7 linked regions of the Canis lupus familiaris genome follow. The protein of the gene in region 4 interacts with the protein of the main gene of each other region in a pairwise test. Links are inferred from orthologs where the notes say so. Each region holds a gene or a part of one and is shown on either strand. Other genes may lie near its edges.

The links.
Region 1: the proteins of TRIM63 (region 4) and GMEB1 interact in a two-hybrid assay, tested with the Homo sapiens proteins (2 studies listed by BioGRID and IntAct). The link is inferred for Canis lupus familiaris from reciprocal best matches to the Homo sapiens genes TRIM63 and GMEB1.
Region 2: the proteins of TRIM63 (region 4) and CKM interact in a two-hybrid assay, tested with the Homo sapiens proteins (2 studies listed by BioGRID). The link is inferred for Canis lupus familiaris from reciprocal best matches to the Homo sapiens genes TRIM63 and CKM.
Region 3: the proteins of TRIM63 (region 4) and TNNT1 interact in a two-hybrid assay, tested with the Homo sapiens proteins (2 studies listed by BioGRID and IntAct). The link is inferred for Canis lupus familiaris from reciprocal best matches to the Homo sapiens genes TRIM63 and TNNT1.
Region 5: the proteins of TRIM63 (region 4) and TCAP interact in a two-hybrid assay, tested with the Homo sapiens proteins (3 studies listed by BioGRID and IntAct). The link is inferred for Canis lupus familiaris from reciprocal best matches to the Homo sapiens genes TRIM63 and TCAP.
Region 6: the proteins of TRIM63 (region 4) and UQCRC1 interact in a two-hybrid assay, tested with the Homo sapiens proteins (2 studies listed by BioGRID and IntAct). The link is inferred for Canis lupus familiaris from reciprocal best matches to the Homo sapiens genes TRIM63 and UQCRC1.
Region 7: the proteins of TRIM63 (region 4) and MYOT interact in a two-hybrid assay, tested with the Homo sapiens proteins (2 studies listed by BioGRID). The link is inferred for Canis lupus familiaris from reciprocal best matches to the Homo sapiens genes TRIM63 and MYOT.

The regions. Positions count from the first base shown.
Region 1 is NC_049223.1:71,208,189-71,212,190, forward strand, and holds part of GMEB1 (glucocorticoid modulatory element-binding protein 1), read right to left. Parts: intron 3,915-4,002; coding exon 3,783-3,914; intron 1,871-3,782; coding exon 1,733-1,870; intron 1-1,732. UniProt on the Homo sapiens protein: Trans-acting factor that binds to glucocorticoid modulatory elements (GME) present in the TAT (tyrosine aminotransferase) promoter and increases sensitivity to low concentrations of glucocorticoids. Also binds to the transferrin receptor promoter.
Region 2 is NC_049222.1:110,923,408-110,927,051, reverse strand, and holds part of CKM (creatine kinase M-type), read right to left. Parts: intron 3,576-3,644; coding exon 3,421-3,575; intron 2,961-3,420; coding exon 2,828-2,960; intron 425-2,827; coding exon 253-424; intron 1-252. UniProt on the Homo sapiens protein: Reversibly catalyzes the transfer of phosphate between ATP and various phosphogens (e.g. creatine phosphate).
Region 3 is NC_049222.1:103,244,381-103,248,959, reverse strand, and holds the start of TNNT1 (troponin T, slow skeletal muscle), read right to left. Parts: upstream 3,224-4,579; 5' UTR 3,160-3,223; intron 2,542-3,159; exon of another isoform or gene 2,431-2,541; intron 1,853-2,430; exon of another isoform or gene 1,826-1,852; 5' UTR 1,816-1,825; coding exon 1,784-1,815; exon of another isoform or gene 1,683-1,783; coding exon 1,669-1,682; exon of another isoform or gene 1,495-1,668; coding exon 1,465-1,494; intron 1,220-1,464; coding exon 1,187-1,219; intron 478-1,186; coding exon 456-477; intron 1-455. UniProt on the Homo sapiens protein: Troponin T is the tropomyosin-binding subunit of troponin, the thin filament regulatory complex which confers calcium-sensitivity to striated muscle actomyosin ATPase activity.
Region 4 is NC_049223.1:73,296,970-73,300,971, reverse strand, and holds part of TRIM63 (E3 ubiquitin-protein ligase TRIM63), read right to left. Parts: intron 2,306-4,002; coding exon 2,137-2,305; intron 1,372-2,136; coding exon 1,276-1,371; intron 71-1,275; coding exon 1-70. UniProt on the Homo sapiens protein: E3 ubiquitin ligase. Mediates the ubiquitination and subsequent proteasomal degradation of CKM, GMEB1 and HIBADH.
Region 5 is NC_049230.1:22,763,274-22,766,764, reverse strand, and holds TCAP (telethonin), read left to right. Parts: upstream 1-1,391; 5' UTR 1,392-1,394; coding exon 1,395-1,504; intron 1,505-1,727; coding exon 1,728-2,121; 3' UTR 2,122-2,580; downstream 2,581-3,491. UniProt on the Homo sapiens protein: Muscle assembly regulating factor. Mediates the antiparallel assembly of titin (TTN) molecules at the sarcomeric Z-disk.
Region 6 is NC_049241.1:40,914,819-40,919,304, forward strand, and holds the start of UQCRC1 (cytochrome b-c1 complex subunit 1, mitochondrial), read left to right. Parts: upstream 1-1,446; 5' UTR 1,447-1,532; coding exon 1,533-1,601; intron 1,602-1,857; coding exon 1,858-2,001; intron 2,002-3,806; coding exon 3,807-3,893; intron 3,894-4,486. UniProt on the Homo sapiens protein: Component of the ubiquinol-cytochrome c oxidoreductase, a multisubunit transmembrane complex that is part of the mitochondrial electron transport chain which drives oxidative phosphorylation.
Region 7 is NC_049232.1:25,616,466-25,621,090, reverse strand, and holds the start of MYOT (myotilin), read right to left. Parts: upstream 2,969-4,625; 5' UTR 2,814-2,968; intron 464-2,813; exon of another isoform or gene 392-463; intron 248-391; 5' UTR 40-247; coding exon 1-39. UniProt on the Homo sapiens protein: Component of a complex of multiple actin cross-linking proteins. Involved in the control of myofibril assembly and stability at the Z lines in muscle cells.

The sequences.
Region 1 (4,002 bases), about 2.1 Mb from region 4:
CAAGCGCCAAACCGCTGCGCCACCCAGGGATCCCGTGTCTTTTTTTTTAAGTAGGCTCCAGGCCCAATGTCGGGCTCAAACTCACAACCCTGAGAGCAAGAGTTGCACTCTCCACCAAATGAGCTAGCCAGGCACCCCTCCCAACTGATTTCTTGCCCCATACAGTATATTCTCCATAGAGCAACCAAAGTGATCTTTTAAAAATATAAAAAATATATAATTATATAGAAAATATAAAAATATAAATAAATGTTATCACTTTACTCCCCTGCTCAAAAGCACTATGATAGCTTACCATCACCTTAAAATAAAACCAAAGTTTAGGGACACCTGGGTGGCTCAGCGATTGAGCATCTGCCTTTGGCACAGGGCATGATCCTGGAGTCTTGGGATCAAGTCCCACATGGGCTCCTTGCATGGAGCCTGCTTCTCCCTCTACGTGTATCTCTGCCCTCTCTCTGTGTGCCTCTCATGAATAGAAATAAAATCTTTTTTTTTTAAATTTTTATTTATTTATGATAGTCACAGAGAGAGAGAGAGAGAGGCAGAGACACAGTCAGAGGGAGAAGCAGGCTCCATGCACCGGGAGCCCGATGTGGGATTCGATCCCGGGTCTCCAGGATCGCGCCCTGGGCCAAAGGCAGGCGCCAAACCGCTGCGCCACCCAGGGATCCCTAGAAATAAAATCTTAAAAAAAAATTCTAACCAAAGCTTATCTAAAATATCCTCTTTATTGCCCTTCAACCTCATCACCTATCACTCTCCCATACCCTATTATACTGTGGCTGCCTCCATGCTTCTCTAATTCTTTGAACCCATCAGGCCCATTGCAACTTCAAGGTCTTTGTTCCTTCTTCCTGAAATGTTCCTTCTCCCAGTTCATCATATGGCTAGCTTCTTCAGTTCAAATGCCACCTTTAGAGAGGCCTTCCTTGACCACCCTATCTAAAAGAGTCATCCCTGCTTTCTATGTTACTTGCTTTTTTTATTCCACCAAGCACATAAAAAAAAAAAAAGACTTTACTGTAAAGTTTAAGTGTATTTATATAATGTAGGAATTATAAAGAGGTAATAAGACACAAGTAACAAATCTAGGAACTCACTGACACACAAGCTTATGAGATATTATTATGACTTTTTTTTAAATACACTCTACCCCCAATGTGGGGCTCAAACTCATGACCCCAAGATTAAGAGTCACATGCTCCACCAACTGAGCCAACCAGGCGCCCCATTATCATGACCCTTTTGTATCAGATGATTAGAATATCCTTTTACATTATGCATAGCAGGAAGTACCCAAAGGGTATTCAGACACAGCTGTAAGTGCAAATAATAGTTCTGGAAACCCTAAACTGACAGAATATGAGGCTTGTCTAAAACCAGGTAGCTTTCTCCAATTTTCAGACTCTATCTATATATATGTAACAGAGAGAGAAAGCCTCCTTTCTGGCACCATTTATAAAAGTAAAAATTACCTGTGGAAAAAGTATGACCAGACTTGAGTTCAAAACCTTCTTATGAACTCTGAACAAGTAACTTAACTTGTACGAACCTGTGCTCGCTTCGGCAGCACATAACACTAAAAAAAAAAACAACTTGTACGAACCTTCGTTTCCTAATCTCTAAAATGGGGATAATAATACCCCAGTGTTTTCATGAGGCTAACAGGATCTGCTTACAGTTGTTAGTGTTCAATAATGACCACTGTTGTTAGAATTAGGGCACTTACCTGTTACCTGGAAGGGAGCCTGAATGAGCCGCTGCTGAACTCCCCTGAGTAGCTCCTCTATTTCCTTCTGTATATTGCAGACAACCTCTTCCATCAGCCCTACATCAGCTATTCCTTTCCAGAACATCAAAGTGTCCTCTGACACAAGAGAGATAAGACAGAAGGTAAATAAGAGATGCTACGGTACTTAGGCACATCTCTACAAGTTAAACTTGAAATTATTTTAATCTGAAATGATTTCTTGTTGAGCCATTTCTGGGAAAAAGGAAGAAGCTTTTGGAATACTAGCTGCCCCTCTAAGTTGGTACCCAATTATTTGGCCTCTTCAGCATCATAGGGACTTGAGGTAATTGCCTAAATTTGTCATGGCTTTGGCTACAGGGAGTGGGTTATCTTCCTCCAATAAAGATATTAAATAAGGGCAGCCTGCGTGGTTCAGCGGTTTAGTGCTGCCTTTGGCCTAGGGCCTGATCCTGAAGACCTGGGATCAAGTCTCATGTCGGGTTCCCTGCATGGAGCCTGCTTCTCCCTCTGCCTGTGTCTCTGCCTCTCTCTCTATGTGTGTCTCTCATGAATAAATAAATAAAATCTTTAAAAAATATATTAAATAAATACTAAGTATTATTTATTTAAATCATTTAATTTAAAATTTAATAGTATTTAATATCTTAAAAGTTAAATAATAAATACATTAAGTTAGAGATATACAGGTAAGCCTTGTACAACATAGTGTGAACTGTGAAGGTCCACTTATATACAGATTTTTTTCAATAAATACAGTCTAGTGATGTAAATTTATCTTATGACTTTCTTTTTTCTTTTTTTTTTTTTTTTTAAAGATTTTACTTATTTATTCATGAGAAACACAAAGAGAGAAGCCAGAGACACAGGCAGAGGGAGAAGCAGGCTCCATGCAGGGAACCCGACGTGGGACTCGATCCCAGGTCTCCAGGATCACGCCGGGCTGAAGGCGGCACTAAACCGCTGAGCCACCTGGGCTGCCCATATCTTACGACTTTCTTATTAACATTTTCTTTTCTCTAGTTTAATTTATTGTAAGACTACAGTATATAATACATATAACATACAAAGTATGTTAATCGACTATGTTATCGATAAGGCTTGTACTTAAGTTTTGGGGGGGGCAGGGGGGTCAAGTTACACTCGGATTTTCTTTTTTCCTTTTTTTTTTTTAAGATTTTATTTATTTATTCATGAGAGACACAGAGAGAGAGAGAGAGAGACAGAGACAGAGACATAGGCAGAGGGGGAAGCAGGCTCCATGCAGGGAACCCGATTTGGTGGGACTCAATCCTAGGACCACGGGATCACAACCTGAGCCAAAGGCAGATGCTCAATTGCTGAACCACCCTAGCGTCCCACACTCGGATTTTCAACTGTACAGGAGGTTGGTGCCCCAAACCATCACATTGTTCAAGGATCAACCATACTCTCTCTAGTCTTATACTTACAAGATAAAGTAAAACAGTTGAATAGGTGGGATTATAAGCTCCCTAAGGGCAGAGGCTGTCTTTTCATCTATGTTGACAACAGTGCCAACTAAAAATAGGCAGCAATAAATATTTTTCAAGTGAATTAATGAATGGAGGATAATGTGAAACCTTTCCTGGTCCCCTCTAAGTGAATCATCATGAATCACCATCCTCTACACCACCTGCTACCTAATTTTTTTCTTTTAACATCTTGCAGCTTGGTTTATCTAAGAAATGTTCCAAAGTTGGAGGCAGTTAAACAGGATGAAAAGCACTGACTACAGAGTCAAACAGCTGAATTTGGCTCTGATACTATTGGTTGGGTGACTGGTCTTAGGCAAGCTGCTGAACCGTTTCGAATCTCAATTTTTTTCCTATGTAAAATGTGACTGTGCATGGCTGTTGTGGCATGGATTATAATAAAATGTTTGTAGCTACAATTAAATCAATATGAGAAAAATCAGCAAAAGTAATTAAGAGACCTATTGTGTCCCTAATCATAATGGTGAGAAGAGTAACAAAACCCTGCAAGATATCTGAGCCACATAGAAAAGTACCTGAAATTTCCTCTGAGTCTTTCTTCACACCCTCCTCTGTAGCCATGGTGACAGCAGCAGTGAGAGCGGAGTTCCATTCCAGCCCTGCCTCTTCCATGCTCTCTTCCGAGATGGCAATCTGTGTGATACTACCTAAAAGCAGTCCATCAGAGGTAAAGCCAGTGAATTTCATGAAAAAGTCATAGCGATCCTTTTTCTCATACAGCTAAAGAGACCCTAT
Region 2 (3,644 bases), on a different chromosome or scaffold from region 4:
CTAGCAACAATAAAAGATAAAACTAATAGCCAAGATGTTGGGCACTTACTATATACCAGACACTGTTTTCAATTACTGTGCTCTCCATTTTACAGATAAGGAAACCAGGACAGAGAAATGTTAAATATTGTGCCCGAGGTCACAAAGGGGTGGAAGGTGAGGTCATTTTTCTAGAGCATCTGGAAACATAATTGTTTTTATGGCGTTGGATTTGGTGGAGGAACAGGGAGGGTAGTGGGGTGGGGAACTCACCAGATGCCGCGGGCGTCGGGCCAGTCTCGGGCCATGCCTGAGGCCAGCAGCAGTGGGGACACGGGTTTGTCGAACAGGAAGTGATCGTCGATGAGCTGCTGCTGCTCCTGCTCGGTCATGCTCTTCAGAGGGTAGTATTTCCCCTTGAACTCGCCTGTCAGGCTGTTGAGGGCTGAGGGGCCATATAAGGCAGTGGTCAGCAACCTGCTCCACCACAACCTGGGCGTGGAGGCCTGGGGACCCCAACCTGCTGCCCACACAAGCCTGGGGCATGCTCCCGTGGATGTCCTAATGGCTCCTGAACACTAGGATGAAACCCAAATTTGCGACCTCTCCCAGGCTTTGGGAGCAGCCAAGACATGTGCTCAGCCAGGAAACATGGATTTGCCCTTTCCCTGACCTTCACATCCTATCCACCTATGACCAGCAGTGTGCTGGAGCCCCTCCGACTGGCTGGAAGACAGACAATCAAAATCTTAGGATTTTGGGGAGCCAACAGGAAAAACTATTATAAAATAGCATTTATAGTATTTGTATATATCCATATGTAGAATAAATGTTTACTATGTATATATGCACAATATACAATATGTATTTATATACATGTTATACATTTTAATATAGTGTAGTATATAATGTTATGTATCACATATTATATACTATATTTTTAAAGATAATTTATTGGGGCACCTAGGTAGCTCAGTGGTTGAGCATCTGCCTTTGGCTTAGGTCATGATCCCAGGGTCCTGGGATCGAGTCCTGCATCGGGCTCCCCGCAGGGAGCCTGCTTCTCCCTCTGCCTGTGTCTGCCTTTCTCTCTGTGTCTCTCATGAATAAATAAATAAAATCTTAAAGAATAAAGTACAATAAAAATAATTTATCTGGGGCCGCTTGGCTGGCTCAGTCAGTAGAGCATGTGACTCCCAATGTTGGGCACGAAGCCTACTTTAAAAAATTATATAAACTTATAATAAAATAAATTATTTTATAAACACAGGTAATAAGGGGTGCCTGGGTGACTCAGTTGGTTAAGCATCCAACTCTTGATTTCAGCTCAGGTTGATCTCAGAGTTGTGAGATCAAGCCCCCAAGTCAGGTTCTCTGCACTGGGAGTGAAGCCTGTTTAAGATTCTCTCTCTCAAAAAAAAAAAAAAAAAAAAAAAAAAGGCAGCCCGGGTGGCTTAGCAGTTTGGTGCCGCCTTCAGCCCAGGGTGTGATCCTGCTGTAGACCAGGGATCGAGTCCCACGTTGGGCTCCCTGCATGGAGCCTGCTTCTTCCTCTGCCTGTGTCTCTGCCTCTCTCTCTCTCTCTCTCTCTCTCTCTCTGTCTCATTAATAAATAAAGTCTTTAAAAAAAAAAAGATGCTCTCTCTCCCTCTGTCCGTTTTCTCTATCTCTCTTTCTCTTTCTCTCTCTCAAAAATAAATAAATAAAAATAAAACATAAATAAAGTCAAAACACTGCCATAGGTTATAAATATCCAAAATTATCACTTCCTAATTATTTTACTACATCTTTATTATCTATGTTCTTGAAGCTTTTTTCATCTCTATCCCTTTGGTGGGAATAGTATGTAATGATGTGTATCTTTTCCCATCTCTCTATGATATCATGTTCATAGTTTAAAGTTGGCTGTGGCAGGAGAATTTATACCATGGAAACTGGCAGTCGCTACAAATTGGGGCTTTTTTTTTCTTCTTAAGAGCTGGTTGTTAGATGTTTACTAGAACAAACATGCTTGCGAGTCCTGATGATCCTACCTCCCAAATATATCGCTCATTCTCTCCATCCCTTTGCCTATCCCTCACCCCACGCCTGCACCATTGTGGTTGCCCCTTACAGCCTCTCTGCTCCTACCTTTGCCCACAGTCTGTTCCCTATTCAACAGCCAGGAAACTGCCCATGTAAGTCTGAACTTACTCCAGTCACCATCCTCCCATGGCTTTCATCTGTTCAGAGTCAAAGCCAAAGCCCCCCTGATGGCCCACAAGGCTCTGCACAAGCAGGCCACCCATACTCCTCTGACTGCATCTCCTCCCCTGGTCTGCTCAGCTCTGGCCACACTGGTCTCCTTGCTCTTCCTCCAACACACTTCCCCACCTCAGGACCTTTGCACTTGCTGCTCCACCTGCCTGGAAATCTTCAGGCTCCTTTTTGTCAATCAACTCCTCCTTTCTCAGGGAGCTCCCCCCAGCCATTCTATGATGCACCCTTGTTTCTCGGCTACACGGCATTTTGGAATTAATCATTCTTTTGCTGGTTTCTGTGTTTCTTCTTATCTCCCCACCAGGCTGACAGCTCTGTGAAAACAGTGACCTTGTCCATCTTATTCATCATGGGAGCCCCGGCCCCCTACTCAGGACCATGACAACCGTAAACGCTGGTTAGCTGGCTGGCTGGCTGGTTGGATGGATGGATGGATGGAGGTCAGGACCCTGGTGCAATTGAAAGTCTGCATGGATCTGCTCAGGGTTCCTTGACAGCGCCCCCAGACTTCCAGCAGGGGTAATGCTGCCAGCTGTCACTCATCAAGCACCCACGATTTACCCAGTGGTGGGCAGGGTGGGGTTCTCACCTTCTATGGAGAGTTTCTCCACTGCCCGGCGCTCGCCCCGGGAGCAGTGGGGGGGCAGTGTGTAGCCCTTGATGCTACGGCCCGTGCGGACGCGGCTGCTGAGCACATAGTTGGGGTCTAGGTCGTCTCCACCCTGGAGGGCAGGAGGGGGGTCAGGGCTGGGCACGGCCCCCACAAGCCGCCCCTCCACTGCAAGCCCATGTCCTCCCTGGCCCCCCCACCCAGGGCTCCCAGTTCTGACTCTGCTACTTCCTTCGGCTCCTCCTTGCCCACTGGCTTCTCCCACCACCACCCTGGCTCGGCCTCTCCCTTCTCGGCCTCTCCCTCCCTATTTCTCCCAGCCTCTCATCTGCCCCTTTCCTCCATACATCTCTTTTCCCCCGTCCCATTTTTGTCCCGCGTCCGGTTTCTCTTCATCTCTTCCCTGTCTCTCCTCCCATCTGAGTCTCCCCCGCTGTGTCCTGGTCTCCCTGTCTGTCCTGCATGCCTCTCTGTCCCTCCTGCCCTCCATCTCTGCCTCTTGGAGCATCCCTTCCCACCTCCGTCATCCTCCCTCTCTTCCCCATCCCTCCCCTCCCCTGTGGGCAGCTGACCTTGAGGTTCTCATGGTTGAGGTCAGTCTTGTGCTTGTCGGTGGGTTTGTAACCCCCATGCCGGTCCTGGATGATGGGGTCGAAGAGATCCTTGAACACCTGGTAGGACTCCTCGTCACCGGCCACACAGCCCACGGTCATGATGAAAGGGTGACCTGGGGATTTGGGGTAAGGTCAGAGGCGCTTGTGCCCAGCAAGGAAGACCCAGGCTCCTTGGTCCTATA
Region 3 (4,579 bases), on a different chromosome or scaffold from region 4:
TTAGGACTCTCATCATCAGAATGACCTGTGTCTCTGTCTGTTCCCTGAAAGCCTGGCCTGAATCCAACCACTGCACCATGCATGCACCCTGTGAAGCTTTCTCCTTTACAATATCCCTCCCACCTCCTTCAGCTAGTGAACTCTTCATCCCTCAGGACTCTAGCATCACCTCCTCCCCTGGGAAGCCTTCCTTGACTGCCTAGGGCAAACATAGTACCTTCTTGTGTGCTACCCTCACTGTATCTGGGTCTGTTTCACCAACAGAGCAGATGGGTTCTGATATACCAAACACCAAGGGAAGTTCTCTGGACAATTGGCTGACAGAACAAATCCCTGCCCTTTCCTGCTTCAAGGGCCCCACTCTCCTTTTCTGCTTTTCTTACACCCTGTCTCTGGGGGTGGGGGGTACATATTTAGGAGGATGTGATTGGGATGCTTAGCCCCTAGGATCTCACCTTGGTTTGGGACGCTCCTCTTCTAGTGGGGAGATACAAAGAGATAATTAGCAAGAGTTCATGGGGGTGGGCCTGATACACCCAGAGGAGGGAACTCCCCTCCAAGCCATAGACCCCAGGAGCAGCTCTGGGGGAGAGGCATGAGTAGGGGGGGAGAAGAGGGAACAAGGGAAATCAGGAAGAGGAGGATCACACGCATCAGATATACATTCAGAACTGGTGTGGGGTCCCCCTCCCACTTCTCTGGGAACCCAGGGCTCCAACCCCCCCAGACCTTCCTCTTACATACCAAAGCTCCTGCTCTTCTGCATTTACACCTAGCACTTCAGGGTGCCCCCAGCCCCTCCCCTCTGGGGACACAAGAATCCAGACGCCCAGGGAGAGCCCTTTCTGCAACTCACACCCCAACCTTTGAATGTATATGAAGGAGAAAAGTGACAGGGTCGGGGACTTAGATGGGGGTGGGGTGGGGGTGTCTGTCCGCAAACATCCAACCCTTCTACAAGAATTCCTCCAGGCTGGGGAAGAAGGCTTGGGTGTCGGTCCCTTTAAGAAGGAAGGGAATGGGTTAAAGCCTCGGCGAGGCCGTTTCCCTTCGTGGACACCAGAGGGCGCGCGAGCTCTCCGGAGCTTAAAGGACCGGGCCTGGGCGGGTTATGCGGGCGCAGGGGTCCTCGCAGGGCTCGGGGCCCGAGGAAATCCGTCTCGGGAAGCGAAGCAGCCGCGGTTACCTCGCTCTGCCACGGGCTCCGGCTCCTCGGCGGCTGGGGAGGAGGAGGCAGGGGGAGAAGCGAGGAGGGGGTAGCGAGGGGGAGCGGCCACGCCGGGGTGCGGGGGGCGGGGGGGGGGGGCAGGGAGGAAAGAAAGGGTAGAGGCTGTTAAAGGACCTGAAGCCGGGGCGGTCGGGAGCCCCGTGCCCGCCGGCCCCGCCACGCCCAGCGCCCCCTCCCCACCCAGCCCCGGCCCCGCGGGGCTGCCTGGGCCGCAGACCTGCGGGTCCAGGCCTCACCTTCCTCCTCCTCCTCCGCAGCCTCCTCTTCTGGAAGGGCAGGGGGCAGAAAAGGCAGGGTTAGAACCCCACAAGAGAGCACGCCCAGGGTGCTGCGACCCCGAGGGTGGCCGCCCCGGGTGGCCGGGGGCGATGGGCGACCCTTGTCCTCGGGCCTCCCGCGCGTGTCCCCAGGCCACCGAGGGCCACCCACTCCCCACTCACCTTCGGGCTGCTCCCTGAGGACACAGGAAGAGGACAGAGAGGCAGGGTTAGCGTGTTGGAGGTGGGAGAGGGTCCCACCTCTCCATACCCCAGCCCTCCCACCAGCACCACTCACTCCTCATACTCCTGCTCCTCGGTGTCCGACATCCTGTGTCACCTAAGGACCAAAGAACATGCGACTGAGGTGGGGTCCCGATGGAGGAGGGGCTGGGGGCCAGAGTCCTGGGTCTGAGGGAGGAGGGAATGGGGGCCTGAAGTCCTGGGTCTGAGGGAGGAGGGAATGGGGGCCTGAAGTCCTGGGTCTGAGGGAGGAGGGCCTGGGGGCCTTGACCCCTGGGTCTGAGGGAGGAGGGGCTGGGGGCCTGGACTCCCCAGTCTCAGGAAGGAGGGGCTGGGAGCCCTGACAGGGAAAGGGCTCTGGGAGGTGTGGGGGGAGCACAGCCCCAAAGCTGCAGCTCCTGCCCCTCCACCACCACAGCTGTCCTCCTTTGTCTTATGACATGTCCATGGGAACCTGATCTGAGTGGAGATTAGGAGAAGGTATTTGGGAAGGGACTGTGGCCTGAAGACAATAGCTGCCCCACCCCCCAAAGGCTATTTTGGGGGGATGTCGTAGATGGTGAAACAGAGGACATTTCCTAAGAAGGGATTCAAGGGGGGAGGCTCCTGGGAGAATTAGTCACGCAGGCTCCCTCTCCACCCCTCCCCCTCCCCCTATCTGGTTATCTTCCCACCTGGCCCCTCCTGGCCCCCTACCCACAGCCTTGAAGGAAGCTGGACTCATCAAGAGCAGTGAAGTCCACACATCTCACCCTGACTCCTACATAGACACCACATCATCTTTGGGATTCCCCCAGGACCAACAGTATCCAGGTTAAGAGCACCCCCAAATCCTGAGACCCACAGATCCTGAGCCCCTCCAACTGATGATGCCCCTAGTTTCTGGGGACAAGCAAGGCCTCATGTCTCCAGATTCTGAGAACCCCATTCTTGAGATTCCAGCGTCTGGGCTGACATCCCCAGATCTTGACGCTCTAGGTCTCGACACCTACATTCTAAAGCCTCAACGTCTTGAGACCCCAAAATCTAGACGCCCAAGCTCAGAGGTACAATTCATGTTGCCCCAAAATTTGGTACCTCCAATCATATGGCTTCAGACCTGGAGACCTCAATTCTCAAATCCCCAGAGTCTGAGGCTCCCAGTCCTGACACCCAGCCCATAAATGTCCAAGCCCAGATATCCCCAATTTCTGAGATTCCCTCTGAGCTCCTAGGTCTGAAGGTGTTATATTCTGGGACACCCCAATCTCGGCACCCCCAGACTCCATAACTCCCAAATCCTAATACCTCTGTCCTCAGGCCTCATAAAGCCTGAACTTCCCAGGAATTCCCAAGCCTTAAGTTTGTACCACCTCCACCTCCGTAGCCACCCCTCCTGTCGTCTCCCCCCCCCCCATCTCCCCCCAGTACGAAGCTCCTGGAGACCATTACCTAAGGCTGAGTCTGCAGAGTCGGTGAGCAAATGGGCAGGGCAGATCTGTTGCTGACCCTGCGAGTGGAAGCACCCCTGGTTTATAGTGGAGTCTCAGCCCCGCCCCCCAGGGGAGAGGGAGGGCCTGAGAATTCCTCTCTCAGACCCAGAGTCCAGCTCAGAGGCTGCCCTGCCCCCGCTCTGGCTGCATATTCAGGATCCTGGCACCTCCTGGGGGTCTAGGGACCCCTTCACCCCATCAGCATGGCCTCGCACCTAGACTGGGTCAGGTGACCTCCAACCTCCGGGCTCCCCACCTCCCTTACAGCACGCTGAACCCGATGCTTTGAAGTCCCTGGGCTTGGCACACAGTAGGTCCTCAGAGAATACTTACTGACAAAAAGAGCACAAGGGGTGCTTCCTCTTATAAGGCTCTTGTCCCAGTTTCTGTGTCTCTTCGGGCCTCTCTGCATCTCTGATACTGTCCATCTCTCCTTTGTCTCTGGGACCCTCCACCTGTGTGTCTCTGTCTCTGTCTCTGTCAACCCCCTCCCACCCCCACCCCTTTGTCTGCCACCAGGATTCCATCCTGGTGACAACAGGCGCTAAAGCCGGGAAGCAGGTGTGGGTCGGGGGAGGGGAGAGGGTGTGGTGTCAGGCCCATGACCTCACACTCCCCCACCTTCATCTGACACTGAGCTGTTGGGTATTCCTGCCCCCCTTACCCTTACCCACAGCCGGCCACGACCTTGAACCCTAAGGGAGCCAGCCACCCCTCCTGCTTCTCAGTGTCTCTGTCTCTCCCTGCCTATCATCTCTGTTTCTCTTTCTGGGCATTTCTCCAGGGGCTGTCTCTCTGGGTCTCTCCGAGTCTGTGTTTTCACTCCCTGTGTCTCCCCATGCATTTTTGTCTCTGCATTTCTGGGGGTGAATCTGTCAATTTCTGTGAATCTGTCTACTGGCATATGAATGTGTGTGACCTCATTTATGTCTTTCTTTGGCTCTGCATCCGTGTCTTCCTCCATGTCTCTGCATTGTCCCTCTTTCAGTCCCTATTTCTGCCTTGTTTGGTGGTCTCTGATGTGCTTTGTGCACATCGGCCTCTCCATTTCCCCTTTCTTTGCAGGTCTTTCTAGGAATCTCTGTCTTTTCTCCCTCTCTGTGGGTCTCTGGCTGTCTCTGTGTGTGTGCATGTCTCTCTCCTTGGACCTCGGTCTGGGCATCTCTGCACACCCTGCGTGTGAGGCATAAGAGCTGGGAACGCCCCCTACTGCAGACCCAGCTCTGCTCCTGCTGTGTGGTGTGGCTTTGGGGGACTCTCCCCTCAGTCTTCTCATCTCCCTCACACCGGACCCCCAGGTAGCAGACTTGCAGCCATTTCTAGCTCAGAGAGAAACTTTATTCCTCAAGGACACCTTCAGGGCCAGGGCAGGGGGCAGC
Region 4 (4,002 bases):
TCTCGTCCAGGATAGCATACAGTACGTCAAACTTCTGACTCAGCTCTTCCTTCACGTGGTGACTGTTCTCCTGGGGACAGAAATCTCAGAGTCACACCCTAGGGAGTCTTCCTCTCCCTGGCACATTTTTCCTGGGATGGATGTGCTAGGAATAACAAGTCTGAAGCTGGAAGAGATCTTGCTACACCCCCATTTTACAGAAGACAAAATGAAGTCTTGGCAAAAAGAAAGGATTTGCTGAGGTCTCGTAGCTACTTAGCATACCAGTAACGTTTGGAGGCTAGTGCCGTGGAGAAAGCTAGCCCTTTCCTCAAAAATAGAGACTCCAGGATCAGATGGGATGATCCAGTCTGGGCCTTCTGTGGCCTCCCAAGTCACCCCCCACCACACATACCCCTGGCCCCTATTTTAGGATCAAGACTGGATTCAGGAGGCTCTAGTTGGTTCTAGTAAGAAAGGAGAAGCAGCGACTCCTCTAGTGGCCTCCTCACTGAGGCTCCCTTCTCTCCAACACAGATGCTATACCTACAAAATAGGTATAATAATATATCTCACCAGACTGGAGGCTCTAGTATCCTCTATCAGCCTGGGAGCATCTCATGAGTAGTCCCCTCCTTCCTTCAAAGCCATCCTTCACACAGCTCTTCGTTCATCAGGAGTCTGATGACCCTTTCCCCCCCACCTCATCTCTAGGCCCCACCTCAAGTGGAAATGAAAAATCATGGATTCTTTTTCAGAGATAGAAAAGTTTCCTTCTGCCTCTATGTAGTCTTGCATGGTGTGGTCCGTGGACCAACAAGTTGGGTAAAGCCTGGGAGTTCATTAGAAAGAAATGCAGAACCTCATACCTCCCTCCAGATCTACTGAATAAGAATTTGAATTTTCACAGGATCTCAGGGGGATCTGAACGCATTTTAAAGTTTGAGAAGCTTTAGTCTACAACACACTGAAGACAGTGGTCTGAAAACTACTTGTGCTGAATAAATACTGAGAATTATTGCTGGCATGCTTCCTAAAGTCAGGGATTGGTCTGTCTTGTTCACCACTCCAGCCCCAGCGTCTTTGGCAGGGCCCGACACACAGCTGTGTTCCAGAAGCATTTGGTGAGTGAGTGGATGAATAGATTAGTTGGTTTCCACTCCACCACCCCTGCTTGAACACCCCAGCCTCCAGGCCCCAACCATTAGCCACAGCTCACAGCGGAGCCTTCACCCCAGAGAACCAGGCTTCACTGAGAGGCCTTGGACCCCTAGACAGAACTCTTCTCCCCCTCACCTTGGTCACTCGACAGGAGTCCTCCAGCTGAGTGATGATGGTCTGCATCCGGTCATTCCCCGCTACCAGCATGGAGATACAGTTACTCAGCTCCGTCTAGATGGGAGAGGGGGTGAGGGATCAGGAGAAGAGAGATGAAAAAAAAAAAAAAAAAAAGGAGAAGAGAGATGAAATAGTCCCAGGGCCTGTCTTCTCAGGAATGGCACCCTCACTCCCCTCTCTGCTAGAAAAAGCCTACATCTCTAGAGATACTACATCCCTTATTTTACAAATGAGGCCCAGAAAGGGGAAATGACCAAAATACAAACAGCAATGTACTGTCAGAGGAGGGGTTTGTTTTTAGGAACGAAGAGATACAAAAAAGAAATAGAGAGTTCTAGAAGAGAGAGGTCAAGAGAAGAGTGGGAGGCAGGGAAGAAGTGTCCAGAAAGAGGGGCCATAGCTTACTGCATGGGCAGGATTATGGACTCCCACAGGCCTCAGGGCCAGGGAGAGGGCTCTGAGCTACTTTTTCTGCTACAGGAGAGGTAACCAGCACAGGAAGAGGTATCTGGGGCCCCAAGCACACTGGGATGTAGAAGTCATGGCCTGAGAGGACCCTGGTGGCCTGGCCCAGGGGTCTGGTCTCTCGCCTGTGGCCACACCCAGGTGCTCTCAAGTGGCTCTAAGTATAACCCATGAGCTCAGCCACCTCCCCCAGGAAGGCAAGGGCTGCTGTCCCTGTGGCCTGGGAAGTCCCTCCAGAGGGACTATTCCTGAAAGGCCGGCTCAGCAGATCTACAGGGATCAAATCTACATCCTGAATCATCTGGCCATGCCCCACAAGCCCAGGCTGGGGGTAGAAGTGGTATAAGCCAGTACCTTTTGTCCCTGGAAGACGCTCTGCAGGGGGGCCACCTCACAGGCCTTGTGAGCCCCAAACACCTTGCACATGGAGCACGTGGGCATCTCACACGTGAGGCAATAGATGTTGATTTTCTCGTCTTCATGCTCCTTGCACATGGGGTGGCTGCCCTTCTGCAGGGGCCGACTGCAGAAGAATCACAAGTCACACAGTGGGGGGGGGGGGTCCCGAGTCCCTGTCTCCCCCCACCCCAGCTCTGGGTGGCAACTCCAGATCTATGGCCTGAGCCCTCAGTGACTGGCTGTACACAGTCCTTTTCATTTTCTGGATACCCAGAACCAGGAAAGCCAGTGACACCAAGGCTATCCTCATATCCTTGGACTCAAACTCCAGTGATGAACATGGGAAAGGTTGTAGAATCCCAGAACTGGAGATATTTTTGAGAAGAAGAAACTGAACCCCAGAAAGGTGAACTGACTTGTCCAAGGTCACCCATCAAGTCAGGGCAGGGGAGGCAAGAGTGCATTTGCTCTAATTATAGTCCCTGTAACTCCTGGTTACTGCAGGCTAACTTTGAGCAAAGCAATTTATACTCATGGCCTCACTTAATTCTATATTTAATCCATCAGACTGTAACCGCATCAAAGCAGGGAAACTTGCCTGCTCCCGGCACCTCTGAATTTGCAGTGTACAGTGTGTGTCATGGAGGAGGTGGTTATTCAATACAGGTGGAGAGACTATACCAGTAAGCACACCATGAGGGTGCCCCCAGGCACAGAGAGGGAAGAAATGTGTGTGCCCCAAGTCACACAACCAGAACACAGGCAGCCCAAGGATGAGTAACAGTTCAGCTCAAGCCTTGACTTAAAGTCCAGAAAGTCTTTCCAGCATTCAGAGTTTTTTCCTTCCCAAACACACATTCTTAGAATGCTTTTCTCCCTCGGTCTGGTTCTCTACTTAGGGGCCTCTGGCATGTTATCTATGCTTCTCGCAGGGCATCAGTTGCTTCCTATCTGAGGCTCAGTTTTTTGTGTCTAAGTCCTACCCCTTCATCTAGACATATCATTAAGAGCCAACACCATGTCTACATCACCTCTGCTTTCCCACTCTGCTTTCCCAGTCCCTAAAACAGCAAGCATCTCACAAATGTCAAATGGTGACTGTCCCTTGTCTATGTCAATGCCTCACCTCTGAATAGCCTTGCACAACTGGCCACACCCCAGACATTATTATCTCCCCAGGTTTTTAAATAAGTCCCTTTTCAGACTTATCTCTTTTTCATCTTTTATCGCAGGGCCCCCCCCTCCCCATGCTGGCAGGAGTCTTCCTTTGCCACCTGTCTCTACCCCCCCGGGAGGGAGCTCTGGAATGGCAGTAGCTGCAGAGATGAGCTAAGATCCTGAGGGTCTGGTGCCTGTGCCCACTGCCATGCCAGATGCCCATTCTCCTGAAGCCCGGGCATCAGCATCTGGGTTTAAATCCAGACTGTTCTGCTGCTCACTCATTTTGTGACCTTGGGCAAGTGATTTCACCTCTCGGAGCCTTGGTTTTACCCCAGAGCTACTGGGATCAGGGCAACTATCAGCAATGAATGTATAGAGCCTAGCACAGAGCAGACCCTCAATAAAGGGCATCTCTCACAGCCATTTGACTGTGTAGAAAGGCCCCCGAAGGGTTCAAGCATAAACCTGCTCTTCAGAGGTCGATACTCGAGGTGAGGGGCTAATATTTGGGTGCAATATTAATTTTCTTATTGGAGAATGGTCAGCAATATTTCTGTACTTTTATGGAGTTTTACTCCAGGAACATAGAGGCAATAGCAGTTAGGAATATTCACCATAGAGTCAGTTAGGCTCCCTCTCAGCATCACGGCTTGCTGAGCA
Region 5 (3,491 bases), on a different chromosome or scaffold from region 4:
CTCCCTACCCCGCCCCCCTCCCTGCCAGCCGGCTTCTGGGGGGAAGACTTGCATAGAGCCAAGGTGGGGCAGGGGTCCTGTCTTGGTCCCGCCCAGATATGTGACCCTGGGCGGATCGACCTCTCTGGGCCTCCGTTTCCTGCTTTGTAAAAATGAGACTCGTTATGTTGTAGGGCTGTCGGAAGATTAAAACCAGAATCAGGCCTAGTGCTTCAGGAATCAAGAGGACGTAGTTCTGCTCCAGGCGAGCACCCACGGGGCTTACCAGCTGCTGGGTGCTCTGCTGTTTCTGCAGGATCCTCTTCTCAGCTCTTGCACAGCCTCTTCCGGTGCCCTTTGCTGTGTCCACTCAGTGATGCCCTTACTTGTCCTCCCCCCATGCCCAGCGCCCTGTGCGCCAGTTCCCTGCACCATGAGCTGCTTCCCTTGAATGCTGGGCTTTCCCAGAAGCTCCCCTGCTCCCCCGAGTAAGAGCCAGGCCCCTCCCAGGTGGCACAGTGGAGCCGCTCAGGCTGTTGTGAGCAGAAAATGAGGCCCAGAGAGAGGCAGAGGTGGCTTCTTGGTCACCAGACTATTTACAGCTGGTTTGGGGCGAGAGCCAGATCTGACCCTGCCACTTCTTGGAGCCCCTGGATTCCCATCTCACCTGCCTTGGGGTGGAGTTGGGGATAGAGCTGGGGGCCTCCTCCCACACTTGCTGTTTGCACCCTGACTGGCCTGACCTGGGAAGCCACTTTTCTGACCACTGGCCGTGGGAAGGCTGACAAAGGCTCATGTGCAGGGTCCCGGTGCAGAGTTAACCACATTATTTCATGCCAGTGTGGTGGTGGCAGTCGAGGACCAGGTCTCGCTGCAGATACCTGAGAGTGGTTATACTGTCCCTTCCTGTCGCAGGGCATGGCTAGGGGCTCTGCCCTTGTTCCCAGGCAGAGGAGAGCAGTGGGGGCAGGACCCGATGGCCTGGTACAGAGCCCAGAGTGGGCCTCGATTCCTGCCACTGTCTGCTCTGTTTTCAGACAGGCCCCTGCCCTCCCTGGGCAAGAGGAAAGGGGCGGGGCAGAGAGCTAGTGCCAAGGTGGCACGAGGCTGGGCATGTGCCTGGCCTCAGACAGTGTCTAAGGAGTGTCAAACACCTGGAGGTGTCACTCTGAGGACCTCTGCCCCCACTGGAGCATCTTGATCTCTTTAGAAGCTGACCGCTGACCCCAGGCGGCAGCTGGAGTCCAGGTACCCCAATCCCCCACCCTGGACCCAGAGTCCCCCATCAGTGAGCCTTGGCTCTGCTTATAGCATCTGACGCCAGAGGGGCTGAAAATAGCCCCTGGAGGAGGTGGAGGAGGGGGCTATTTAAAGGGCCTGGGAGGAGCAGAGCCGGGAGGGAGTGAGCACCGATCATGGCCACTACAGAGCTGAGCTGCCAGGTGTCCGAGGAGGACCGCGAGCGCCGAGAAGCCTTCTGGGCTGAATGGAAGGATCTGACGCTGTCCACACGGCCTGAGGAGGGGTGAGTGCCAGCCGGCTGGGAGTCCCTCTCCCCCAGAACACCCCTCCTGAGCCTCAGGAGGCCAGAACACAAAGCCCTGCAGAAGTTTCTGGGGGTAGGGACAAGGAGAGGGTACCCCTTCTGTATCCCAGGTCCTGGAAGTCCCAGGGAGCCCCCTGCCCAGCTCATTAGTAGAGGGTAGCAGATTTCAGGAGCTCAGTGTCCCCTCCCGTCTCCTCCCCAGTTGCTCTCTGCACGAGGAGGATTCTCAGCGGCATGAGACCTACCACCGGCAGGGCCAGTGCCAGGCGCTGGTGCAGCGTTCCCCCTGGTTGGTGATGCGTATGGGCATCCTCGGCCGCGGGCTGCAGGAGTACCTGCTGCCCTACCAGCGGGTGCTGCCACTGCCCATCTTCACCCCCACCAAGATGGGAGCCGCCAAGGAGGAGCGCGAGGACACCCCCATCCAGCTGCGGGAGCTGCTGGCCCTGGAGACGGCCCTGGGTGGCCAGTGTATGGAGCGCCAGGATGTGGCCGAGATCACCAAGCAGCTGCCCCCTGTGGTGCCTGTCAGCAAGCCCGGTGCCCCTCGTCGCTCCCTGTCCCGCTCCATGTCCCAGGAAGCACAGAGAGGCTGAGAGGGACGGTGACCTGGGCTCCACTGCGCCCGCCGCGGGCTGGGCCCTTCCTGGCTAGGACCATGGAGGGGAGCTGCTGGCCATGGATGCTTTGTAGTTTGCCCAGAGTTGGGGGCTAGGGGAGGAGGGAGCCAGAGGCCAGGATGCCTGGGTCCCCTGAGTTCCCAAAGGGAGGGGAGCAAAGACAGTGGCCACGAAGGGTAGGGAGCTGGGGACCAGCACAGCCAAGTGCCCGCCAGCCCTAGGAGAAGGGACAGAAGATGCCGGGGAGGACAAGTGGTCCCTGAGGGGAGTGACCCTGGTCCGGGCCCCGGCTTCAGAGAAGATGAGGATGAGTGTAAGGGGATCTGGAATGCTCTAGGAAGAATTGGAGGAGACGGGAGTGAGGGGGACGTGAAGAGGGCAGAGGGGAGAGTGGAGCCCCCAGCATCCTCTGTTAGCGCTGCAATAAACGCTCAATTGTGTTCCAGACTTTCTGTCTCTTTCCTTATGGGGGCCAACCCCACCGTGTCCGGCCCTCGGTGCTCACTTCTGGGAATAGGCCTTGCATCTGAGCTAAATATGGCAGAGCCGGTGGGTACACTCCATGCTAGGTGGTGGGGGCAGGGGAGACAGGGACGGAGCTGTAAACAGGGTGGCTGGCTCTCCAGTCCCCTTTCCGTGCCCTGGCACTGGGCAGTCCCCGGCGGGCCAGCTGGCACCCAGGGTTTGTTTAAATGATCTCATGGAGTATTGGGAGGGGGCTGGCAGCAGGACTGTCCTTGGCTGTACCTAAGGGTGTGAGCGGGGTCACTGGCCCCAAGGCTGACCTGAGTTCTGAATCCAGACAGAATCAATCCTTGGCTGGGGTCAGGCACTTGACCCACACCACCCAGGGAGCCCAGGGTGGGTTGTGGGAAGCAGAGGGTCAGGTGCTTGTCTGTGACGCCTGTCTCAACCTGGTTGCCTGGTCCAACAAGGAGACATGTTCTCCTTAGGACAAGGTGGGGGCCAGGAAGCCAGGAAGGGCACAGAGGAGGCTAGGGCCCCCTCTGGTCAGGGTCTGAGGGACAGGGACTGGCCCAGAGGGATCCAACTCCAGGGAGACCAGAGATGGGCCCATGGAATCCACTTCCCATTTAGGGGAACAGGAGGGGAGACGCTGGCATCTTGACCTGGAGTGCCAAGCAGGACCTGCAGGCTGGGCCTGGCACGCTCACCCAAGAGAGGGGAATGTAGTGTGGGCTGGGGGAGGAGAGGGGTCAGAAACCCCAGATTGGTGAAACCCCAATTCCCTTGGCGCTGAAGAAGGCCCAGCCCGCGCCTCGGGGGACCGGGGCAGCCGGGAGAAGGCTTCAGCCCTCCAGCCCTCACCACAGCCCGCGGCCCCC
Region 6 (4,486 bases), on a different chromosome or scaffold from region 4:
TTTTATTTACTTATTCATGAGAATACACAGAGAGGAGGGCAGCCCGAGTGGCTCAGCGGTTTAGCGCCGCCTTCAGCCCAGAGCCTGATACTGGAGACCCAGGATCGAGTCCCACGTCGGGTTACCTGCATGGAGCCTGCTTATGTCTCTGCCTCTCCCTCTCTCTCTGTGTCTTTCATGAATAATTAAATTTAAAAAATCCTAAAAAAAAAAGAGTTCTTCTAAAAACAAACAAACAAACAAACAAATAAATAAAATACACAGAGAGGAGAGAGGCAGAGGCACAGGCAGAGGGAGAAGCAGGCTCCATACAGGGAGCCCCATGTGGGACTCGATCCCTGGTCTCCAGGATCACGGCCTGGGCCAAAGGCAGGCGCCAAACCGCTGCGCCACCCAGGGATCCCCATAACATAATTTTAGACCACAAAATATTAATAAACACACACTTAAGCGCCTTTTGTCTGCTTTTTATAAAAGTTATATTTTAAGTATGACTTTTTTTTAAAGATCGCAAAGACAGAAGTAGAATAAATCACATATAAATTACGTAAAAGCAGAGTTCAGAGGTATGCTCTTTCAAAAGTAACATGTGTCTTGCAAAAATTAAAAACTTTGTATTAACACAGAAATCTAACTATGGTGAGCATCCTTTTCTTCCCTTCAATCCATTTTTTCCAGAAGTCCCTCGGCTGAAAGTTTCGAGTGAGTTCCTCCGGATTTTTTTCTTTTCTATGTGGTCTATGAGAAAAGCCGTATTGTTTTGTTCTGTTTGTGGGTGTGTGTTTTGTTTTCTCAGAAAGGAGTTGCAATGTCACAAATCCGAGATTAGGAGTTTTCCTGTTCTACAGTGCGCAGTGGGCGCGTCGCCGGGAACGGGGAGCAGCAGCTTCTCTCTCACGTTCCTCTGGGAATTGTGGCTCAAGGTCGACGACTCCGAATTCGACGTTACTGTCCCGGGGCGTCTGGGCGCACATGCACAGTGCCAGCATCAACCGCCAACGAACGGAATCCATGTTCTCTCCACCCAAGTAAGTAGTCTCTAAGCTGTTCCTTTTTCTCCAATTCCCTCGAAGTCAACCGTCTGAATCTACTTCAACCTTTTCGAGAGAAAACCGTGATCAGCAGCTACCTCACAGTCCCAGCAATCCGCGCCGCTGCTAGGGCCCCGGGGCTCCCATCCCCGGACACGCGGCCGCTGCGCCCCCGGCCCGCGCGGCAGCTCCGAGCTCGCAGTGGATTCGGGGCGCCCGCGAGGCGTGAGGAACATCGGCACTTTGACTCTCACGAGTGAAAGGGGAAGCTGGACTGTACCGCGGACGCACCGGCACTGGCCACGCACAGCCAGGTGGGCTGAGGCACGCGGGCACCCGCCGGCCGCGGGCACAACCACAGACCAACGGCGCGTGAAGAAGCTGCTCTCCGCCAGGAGGCGGCCGAGCGCCACGGCTGCGGCAGTGCGCCTGCGCCTCGGACGCCGTCGCGTCCCCTTTTACGCTTGCGTGACGCGACCTAGCGTCGACTGGAGCTGGAAGATGGCGGCTTCCGCGGTTTGCCGGGCGGCGGGCGCCGGGACGAGGGTGCTGCTGCGCACCCGCCGCTCGGTGAGGCGACAGCGGGAGCACAAGGCCGCGGAGCGCGGGGCTTCGGCACGCGGACGGGAGCGGACTGTTTAGCCGCGCAGGGTCACCGTTGGGGAGGTTCCGGGGTCAGGGCCGTGCGAAGGTCACGGCGCTGAGCGGGGATTGGCGTCCTGCGGCGGGCCGGGGCGGGGGGGCTGCGACCGGGATCCCACTGCTGGCCAGGGAGCCGAGGTCAGATCCCGCAACCGAGTCCTCAATCTCGGTCGTCCCTTTTTAGCAGTCGTCCCTGCTGAGGTCGCCTGCCTTGCGGAGCACCGCCACCTTCGCCCAAGCTCTCCAGAGCGTGCCAGAGACACAGGTCAGCCTGCTGGACAACGGGCTGCGAGTGGCCTCCGAGCAGTCCTCCCAGCCTACCTGCACGGTGAGCCGGGGCTCCCCTCGGGAGGCCGCCTCCCTACTGCGCCTGGCGTCTTTTCCTAGGTCAGGGTGTGACCTTGGGCTCAAGTCCTCTGTGGTTTGGGTCAGACTCCTTATTCACCACTGAATTGACTCTACTGCCTTAATCCCGACCCCAGCTAGGCCCCACTTCTTGGAGGCATTCCTTACTATAACTAGCACACATTTAGTATATGATGCCTGCCAAGCCAGAGGCCAGGTTTTTTTTTTTTTTCCAGCGTATTCTTAAGCACCTCAAAGGAGAGAAGTGATCCTGTTTTCATTTTACCATGAGGAAAATGGGTTTCAGAGACATAAGGTAACTGCTAGAGTCACAGCCCAAAGTCATAATCTCCTGGCTAGACTACTTACGGGCCTGCATAAGGAATGCATTTGAAAATTCCGAAGAAATTGATTTCTTCCAAAAAAATACAAATCCCCCAAATTGACTTAAAAGAAATCTTGGTTAGATATATGAATAGATGAGAAGATTCTGAAGATGTAATCCTCTTCTCTGCACTCTAAATGCCAGGGTGCAATAAGACCAATAAGTGGTCTTATTAGTAAATTCCTTCGGTTTTCCAGGAACAAATAATGTGCTTTAAGTTGTTACTGAATGCAGCAAAAAATCATGGGCAACTTTTGTATTACGTGGCTCTTATATCCAAAGCCTGTTTAGAAAGTTGGTGAGAGAATGCTGTATTTCACGGACTCTGAGAAGCTCTAATTGTAAGGGGCACCCACTGTGTCCCAGTGGCATATAAAGAATGCTGCCTATGATAATCAAAGACTACCGTGGGTTGTAAGATTTAAGTTTTCCTTCTGAGATGTTAGTTGTGAAATAGATGTTAGCGTAAGAATTTATGTTATATTGTATGCCTATCAACATCTCTTAGGAAAGTAGATGTGAAAATTTTAAATCAGCTGTGAGCAAATATTAAAAGACTAGATCTATGTGACTTGTGTGGGATGAGTGATGTGGTGTGTGTTTCATAGCACACCAGGAGGCTGTTGAAGTAATGATGAGATTCTCTCATTGGGTGCCAAGGAGACATTTGACAGTGTTAAGTATCCAAGTCTGGTTAAAAACTTAAAAAAAGAAAAATTGTGAATGAAGGCTCCTTGCTTAATAAGATAAAATGTTCAGTGTCTAAACCAATAGCCTGGGCAGCCCCCGTGGTCCAGCGGTTTAGCGCCGCCTTCAGCCCAGGGCCTGATCCTGGAGGCCCGGGATCAAGTCCCACGTTGGGCTCCCTACATGGAGCCTGCTTCTCCTTCTGCCTGTGTCTCTGCCTCTCCCTCTCTGTGTCTCTCATGAATAAATAAATAAAAATTAAAATAAATAAATAAACCAATAGCCTTCCTTAATGGTGAAAGACAAAATTACCAGAACAAAGGCAGGGTATAATTTTTAGAAAGCAGAAGATAAGTTGTTGTTTGCAAACAATGTGTCGATTGCCTAGAAAAAAATAAAAAGAGTCAACTGAAAAGCAAGACAATATAAGAATTTCATATTGGTAATGGGGTTAGGTGAGTGTGCACAGAAGCTTTCTTGGGAACCAGTCTACAAATAGAGTGGGAAGGAGAAGGGACATGGTATGTCTTTGAGCCCCTGCCTGTGCCCAGGGCACAGCTGTATCTCCAAGCACATGGGGTCCTACTGAGACAACTCTCCCCCAACCTTGGGACCGTGAGCCCTGACCTGGGGCTTCTGTTGAGTCTTCCAGGATTAGGCATAAGTGGGGGCTGGGGTGGTTTGTGTGTTACCTTTGTTGATGGCTTCTTGTCCAGGTCGGGGTGTGGATTGATGTTGGCAGCCGTTACGAGACTGAGAAGAACAATGGGGCAGGTTACTTTCTGGAGCATCTGGCTTTCAAGGTGAGGCTCTTGAAGTCCTGCATCTCCCCTGGGGTTGGGGCTGCCTGGTGTCCCTCCTGAGGAGGATGTAGGTTCACAAAGTCAGCTTCCTCAGTTATGGGCTTCAGTTGGGGGGCGATCTCTGGCTGGCCTTTCTGGAAGGAATCACATGGGCTTAGCCTCTCCTGAGTGAATATATATCTGGTCAGCCCCTGCACAAGGCCCCCAGCGCCTGAAAGAAACCCAGGGAGACGCAGGACCCCACTCCTCACCAGAGAGGCCGGGCGTGCGTCATACACATGCATTGGTGCAGAAGTGTGGAACACGTAGATAGATGTTAAGATATGTATTTGAACAAACTTGTAGACTTGGGCTGTCAAGCGTTCTCGTGAAATGCTCTCTGGCCGAATACCTGGGCATCTCTTGTTTCTAGAAGTAAATACTGAGCTTTCCTGAGGTTGGAGATAGTCTTCATCCTTAGCCCCTTAGCCAGTCCATGTTGTCATGAAGTCTGTTTTTTTAAAAGAATGAAAAAAATGGAGGAGGAGATATAGATGGGTGGGGGCGTGGAGCAGGACCATGTAGATAGCCTAGCCAGCAGCAACATCACAGAT
Region 7 (4,625 bases), on a different chromosome or scaffold from region 4:
GGATTGAATGAAGTGTTTTGGACGTTCGTAGTTAAACATGCTTAGCTGATATATGGAAGATGAAGGCAATTTATTACTGTAATAATTTGCTCCTGGAAGGGTGGGGTCCTTAATTTGGGATGGCAAGCCTGGAATCACAGACGGTCCCAAGGAATCAGAAGCAGTCTTGGTCTGCCCCTCGTTGAGATCTTGGGAATATTGTGTTCCTGTCTTTGATGGAGTAGACTTCTCTTGAAGAATATTGTTCCTTCAAAAGGCAAAAAAAAAAAAAAAAAAAAAAAAAAGATTCAGTTAAAATATTTTCATAAAAAACTATTGTTTGTTTTACATCTTTAGGAGCGTATACAGCTTGTTTTTTTTTTTTTTTTTTCTTATATGCTTTCAAGGTCACCTCAAGGTGGAACTTCCCTGGCTTCTAGGCCTCTTCCTTTAGCTCTCTGTCTTTGTACAAATGACTTTTCTCCTGAGAACAAGAAGAAATGATTTATTAATATTTGTTTGCCTCTGGGTAATTCTTAAAGCATGCCCAGTGACTTTCAAGATAAAGGAGTGGGAAGTTTGAGTTTGCCAAGTGGTTGGTTACTTACGGAAAGAAGTTCTGTGATGTTGCTCAGTGTGATAATTTTATGGTTTTAAGATTAACTTTTGCCCAGAAGATTCAGTTTTATTAACCACAGAGATTTAATGATTTAAATTATTAGCTGTTAAATATCTAACATGTCAACTCCCATTCAGTCTGTATTTTTCCTGTTGCTCATGAAGACCAATGAAAGCTCTTCTGATACATCAGTTAATTAATGTCCTGGTGATCTGTGATGAATGATGTCCTGGTAAATCAAGGGGAACAGTAAGCTTTTTTATAAAGAACATGAGCGTCTGCATTTACTCCTTCATCCTTTTAGAATTTCATAAAGTAGAAGGAACATGTATAAATCATTGTTGTCAACTTGGAGTGTAATCTTTTTTTTTTTTTTTTTTTTTTACCTTTCAATGTACTGCCTCTTTTTCTTTCCTTGATTCCAAATTGACCATAGTGCCAAACTAAATGATAATTAAGGAATCTGTGTCTTTCTTTGTGTATGTATGTATGTCTATTCCAGAGCATTATATAAATTCTTGTTATTTTTAGATTATCTAGTTATTGCTGTCAATATTCTTAGTTTGCTTTCTATTTTTTCATATTTCATGTGTATTTTAGACTAATTCTGAAATTGTTTCAGCTTCTCTTTTACTTTTTTTCCCAAAATGGCAGACAAGGATGTATAGAAGGATGTAAGGCAGTATGAAGCTAGTTATGCCTTACCAGAAAGGATGGGTGCTATTTCTCTGACTTAATTCTGCATTGGTTCTTCTGACTTCCTATGATCCCCATTTTTCCTTAGATGAATCTTTTGCCCCTAAAATCAACCTTGAAGGATTATATTTGTCTCTGATTTCTTCCATTATTATGGTAAGTCTAAGCGGAACTATATGTAGACATTACACACACAGACTAACCCTATGAATTGTGGCGTTAATTCTGTCTCTAATCAAAATATCAGGTAATTTAGTTCAAAATACATTTAATTTTACATAGTATAAGCCAACTCTGAGATAATGATAAATTAAACTTTTAATTGATAAAGCTAACCTGTCATCATCAAAATGAAATCTTAAAGTTGTTTAATTTCCTATCTTGAAGAACGTATCATTTTTAATGAACAAAATTCAGACCAAATAGCTTTATCCTAAGGCTATGCATGTAGTTTAGAGTTAAATTAAAACTAGCAGTTTTAGGAAAGAACAAATGTGACTTAACAGCGAAGAGGAAGATTCTGTTGAAAAAGAACACTTAAAAATCCATATATTCCTTAATTTCAAGTTTATGAACACAAACATGTTCAATTAGAGTGCATTTTAGTAATTAACTATATTAGGCCTTTAAATTGTTGGAGGAAAACATCCAGAAGGAGGCTTTAATTAGATCTTCTCAAAAAAGGGCTCTATTTCAAGGCAGTAGTTTTATAGTTATGGGCTTATTCATTGCATTGCAGAATCAAATTCAAATTTGGTTCTTAAATTCCTTTTTAGGAAGGCAAATCATTCAGATTCATTTCATATAGCAAGTAATAAACTGTTTAACAAATAGCCAGTAGATATTTTCCAAATGTTCCCTGTTTTTTTTTTAATATATGTTTTTAGAATATCAACTATCTTGTACATTTTGGTATCAGCCAGCATAGTTAACAATTACTGTTATTTTCAAAGCTCAATTGAAAATATGTTCTTTCAAAAGTTTCATTGTTCCCATGTTTCAACAAAATTTTATGCAGTTGCTCAAATAGATAACTCTGAGAAGCTTTTCTTCATATTTGTAGTCACTGTCCAGACTTAATTCTATAATAGATTCTTTTACACAACAGTATCATTTTATTCCAAATAATCGTAAATACATTTCAAAGATTTTATAAGTAAAATACTATGCAGTTTCCTATTTAAAAATCTTAACTTTTTCTTTCTAATATAGTTCAGACTTGCACAAAAACTGATTGAGGGTATTTCCCAGGACATCAATTACAGTCAGACCAAGTATCCCAGAAAAAATGATTTAAAAATACTAACACATGACCATCTTTCCTTGTACCTTTTCTATAATGCCTTCCAGTTTCAGTGTAATGAGTAAGTTACTTTCTCCTCACATTTCTGTATAACAACATGATGTTGTGACTTTCAAACATCTTATGTGAAAATCATCTTTGTGCACATTCCTCTGATTTGGACAGAAACACAAAAACAAAACCCAAAACTGTAGCAGAAATAAAGATGGGACTTACCCGTCGTTCCAGAGGGTGCCAGCTGGGTTTAACCCACTACTGAAGGGAAGGAAGAGGCAACCCCTTCCCTCACAGACTAATCTAGTGGCTCTGTGCTTAGTATTATAGCGCCACTGACTTTTATCAGCTGCCAAACAGTGACATCTGATGTGCTTGCCTGTCCATCTACCTATGCTGGCATGTCAAAGTAAGAGTCCACAATCTAAACAATATCTCAGATGTCTCAGTGATATTTAAGGAGTGGGATTACATGAGCTTCTCTTGCAGGCCTCTTTATTTTAGATGCGAATTTTGACTGTGAGCTTTAGCAAGCTCATGCAGGAGGAAGAGCAAAGAGTTGGGAAGTGGAAAAAAGTCTAAAGAAACTCAAGTTTCTTTATTGTGATGAGGGCTTGGAATCTTTCCTATTTAAGAAAGGACTAAAGGGGAGACTGTATTCCAAGACTGATGTTCTATCTAGTAAAAAATTTTCCAGAAACAAGACAGGGATTGATGGGTTCCAAACTGATTTGTATTGGGTAGTTGTTCTTCTGAAGGCTCCCCACCCCCCTTGCCAAATAGAAGTAGGGGTGGAGCAAAGTCCAAGCAGTTTGTTTCAAGAGACAGGGTGTGGTCTTGGCAAAGCAAGAGAGCATGGTGATGGTGATGTATCACTGGGAAGGTGGTGAAGTGGAAAAACATGATTTGGTTTCTTAGCAAGTTTTCTGAATCTGTATGGCATATGCCTCTATGACCTTGTTCTTTTGTTCTTCAAGAGTTTTGAAACACGTAAGAAATTACCAGACCAAAAAAAAAAAAAAAAAGAAAGAAAGAAATTACCAGACAAATAAGCATTCTGTAAATTTAGGGCTTTATATTGTCAACTCTTTCCCTCATCTCCCTTAACTCTTAGCAGTTAAACAATTTCCTTTCTCTTTTAACTGAGGAGACTGTCTTGGTATTTTGGTTTCCATTTTTGTTAGGGAACTAAATAATTACAGAGGAAGAAACTTTCAGATCAACAACAGAAGTAGTAAAGAGGGGTAGGTGGCATGAGTATCAGATCAGTTGAGTGGAATTATCACCATTTAGTGTTTTCAATTTTGGTATGTTTCTTCTGTTTAAAGCATATCTATTTATTAACTTCCTTAATGGGTGCTCCAGTATTGATTTAATTACCATGTACATTAAGGTCCAATTGATGTTTGAGCGCTTATGAGCCATATAAAATTCTTCACAGCTGACCATGTAGGTGTATCTTCTTTTGGTGTTCAGAGAAAGTTTGATAATTGCTTCCTGGGCACACAGCCATTACTTAGTGGAAAAGGCACACTAGACTGGACGAGTAGGTGTTTGCCTACCAAGTCTTATTTCAGGAATTTCCCAAAATATTTCTCTACATCTGTTTACTGATATTTCAGATTCCATTAATAGGGACAAAGTGTTTTAATCCAAATTAAGGAGACTTAAAATGTAAGTGCAAGTGACAATCAAAGTAGCAAGAATAACCAACAAGTAATAGCATTTACTATGAGTAGGGCTTTGATGTAAGCACTTTAAGTATGGTATATGTGACTGATACTTGGTTCAGAATGGTATGGAAGAGGGGATACTAGATTTGAGGTATCTTAGTACCTAAAAGTTTAAGTTGTTATGCTACCAGGTGAGTAGGGAAGATGCCCAGGACAAACTATGAAGTCCCTAACTTTGCCTAGGGCAGATTCTAAACATACTATAGTTGAGGAATTTTAGTTCCATTTACTGTTTATCCTTTAAGCTTTATCTCTTTTCTTCCCCTATGCCTGTGTAAGATGTAATGTTGGTTTCAGTGTA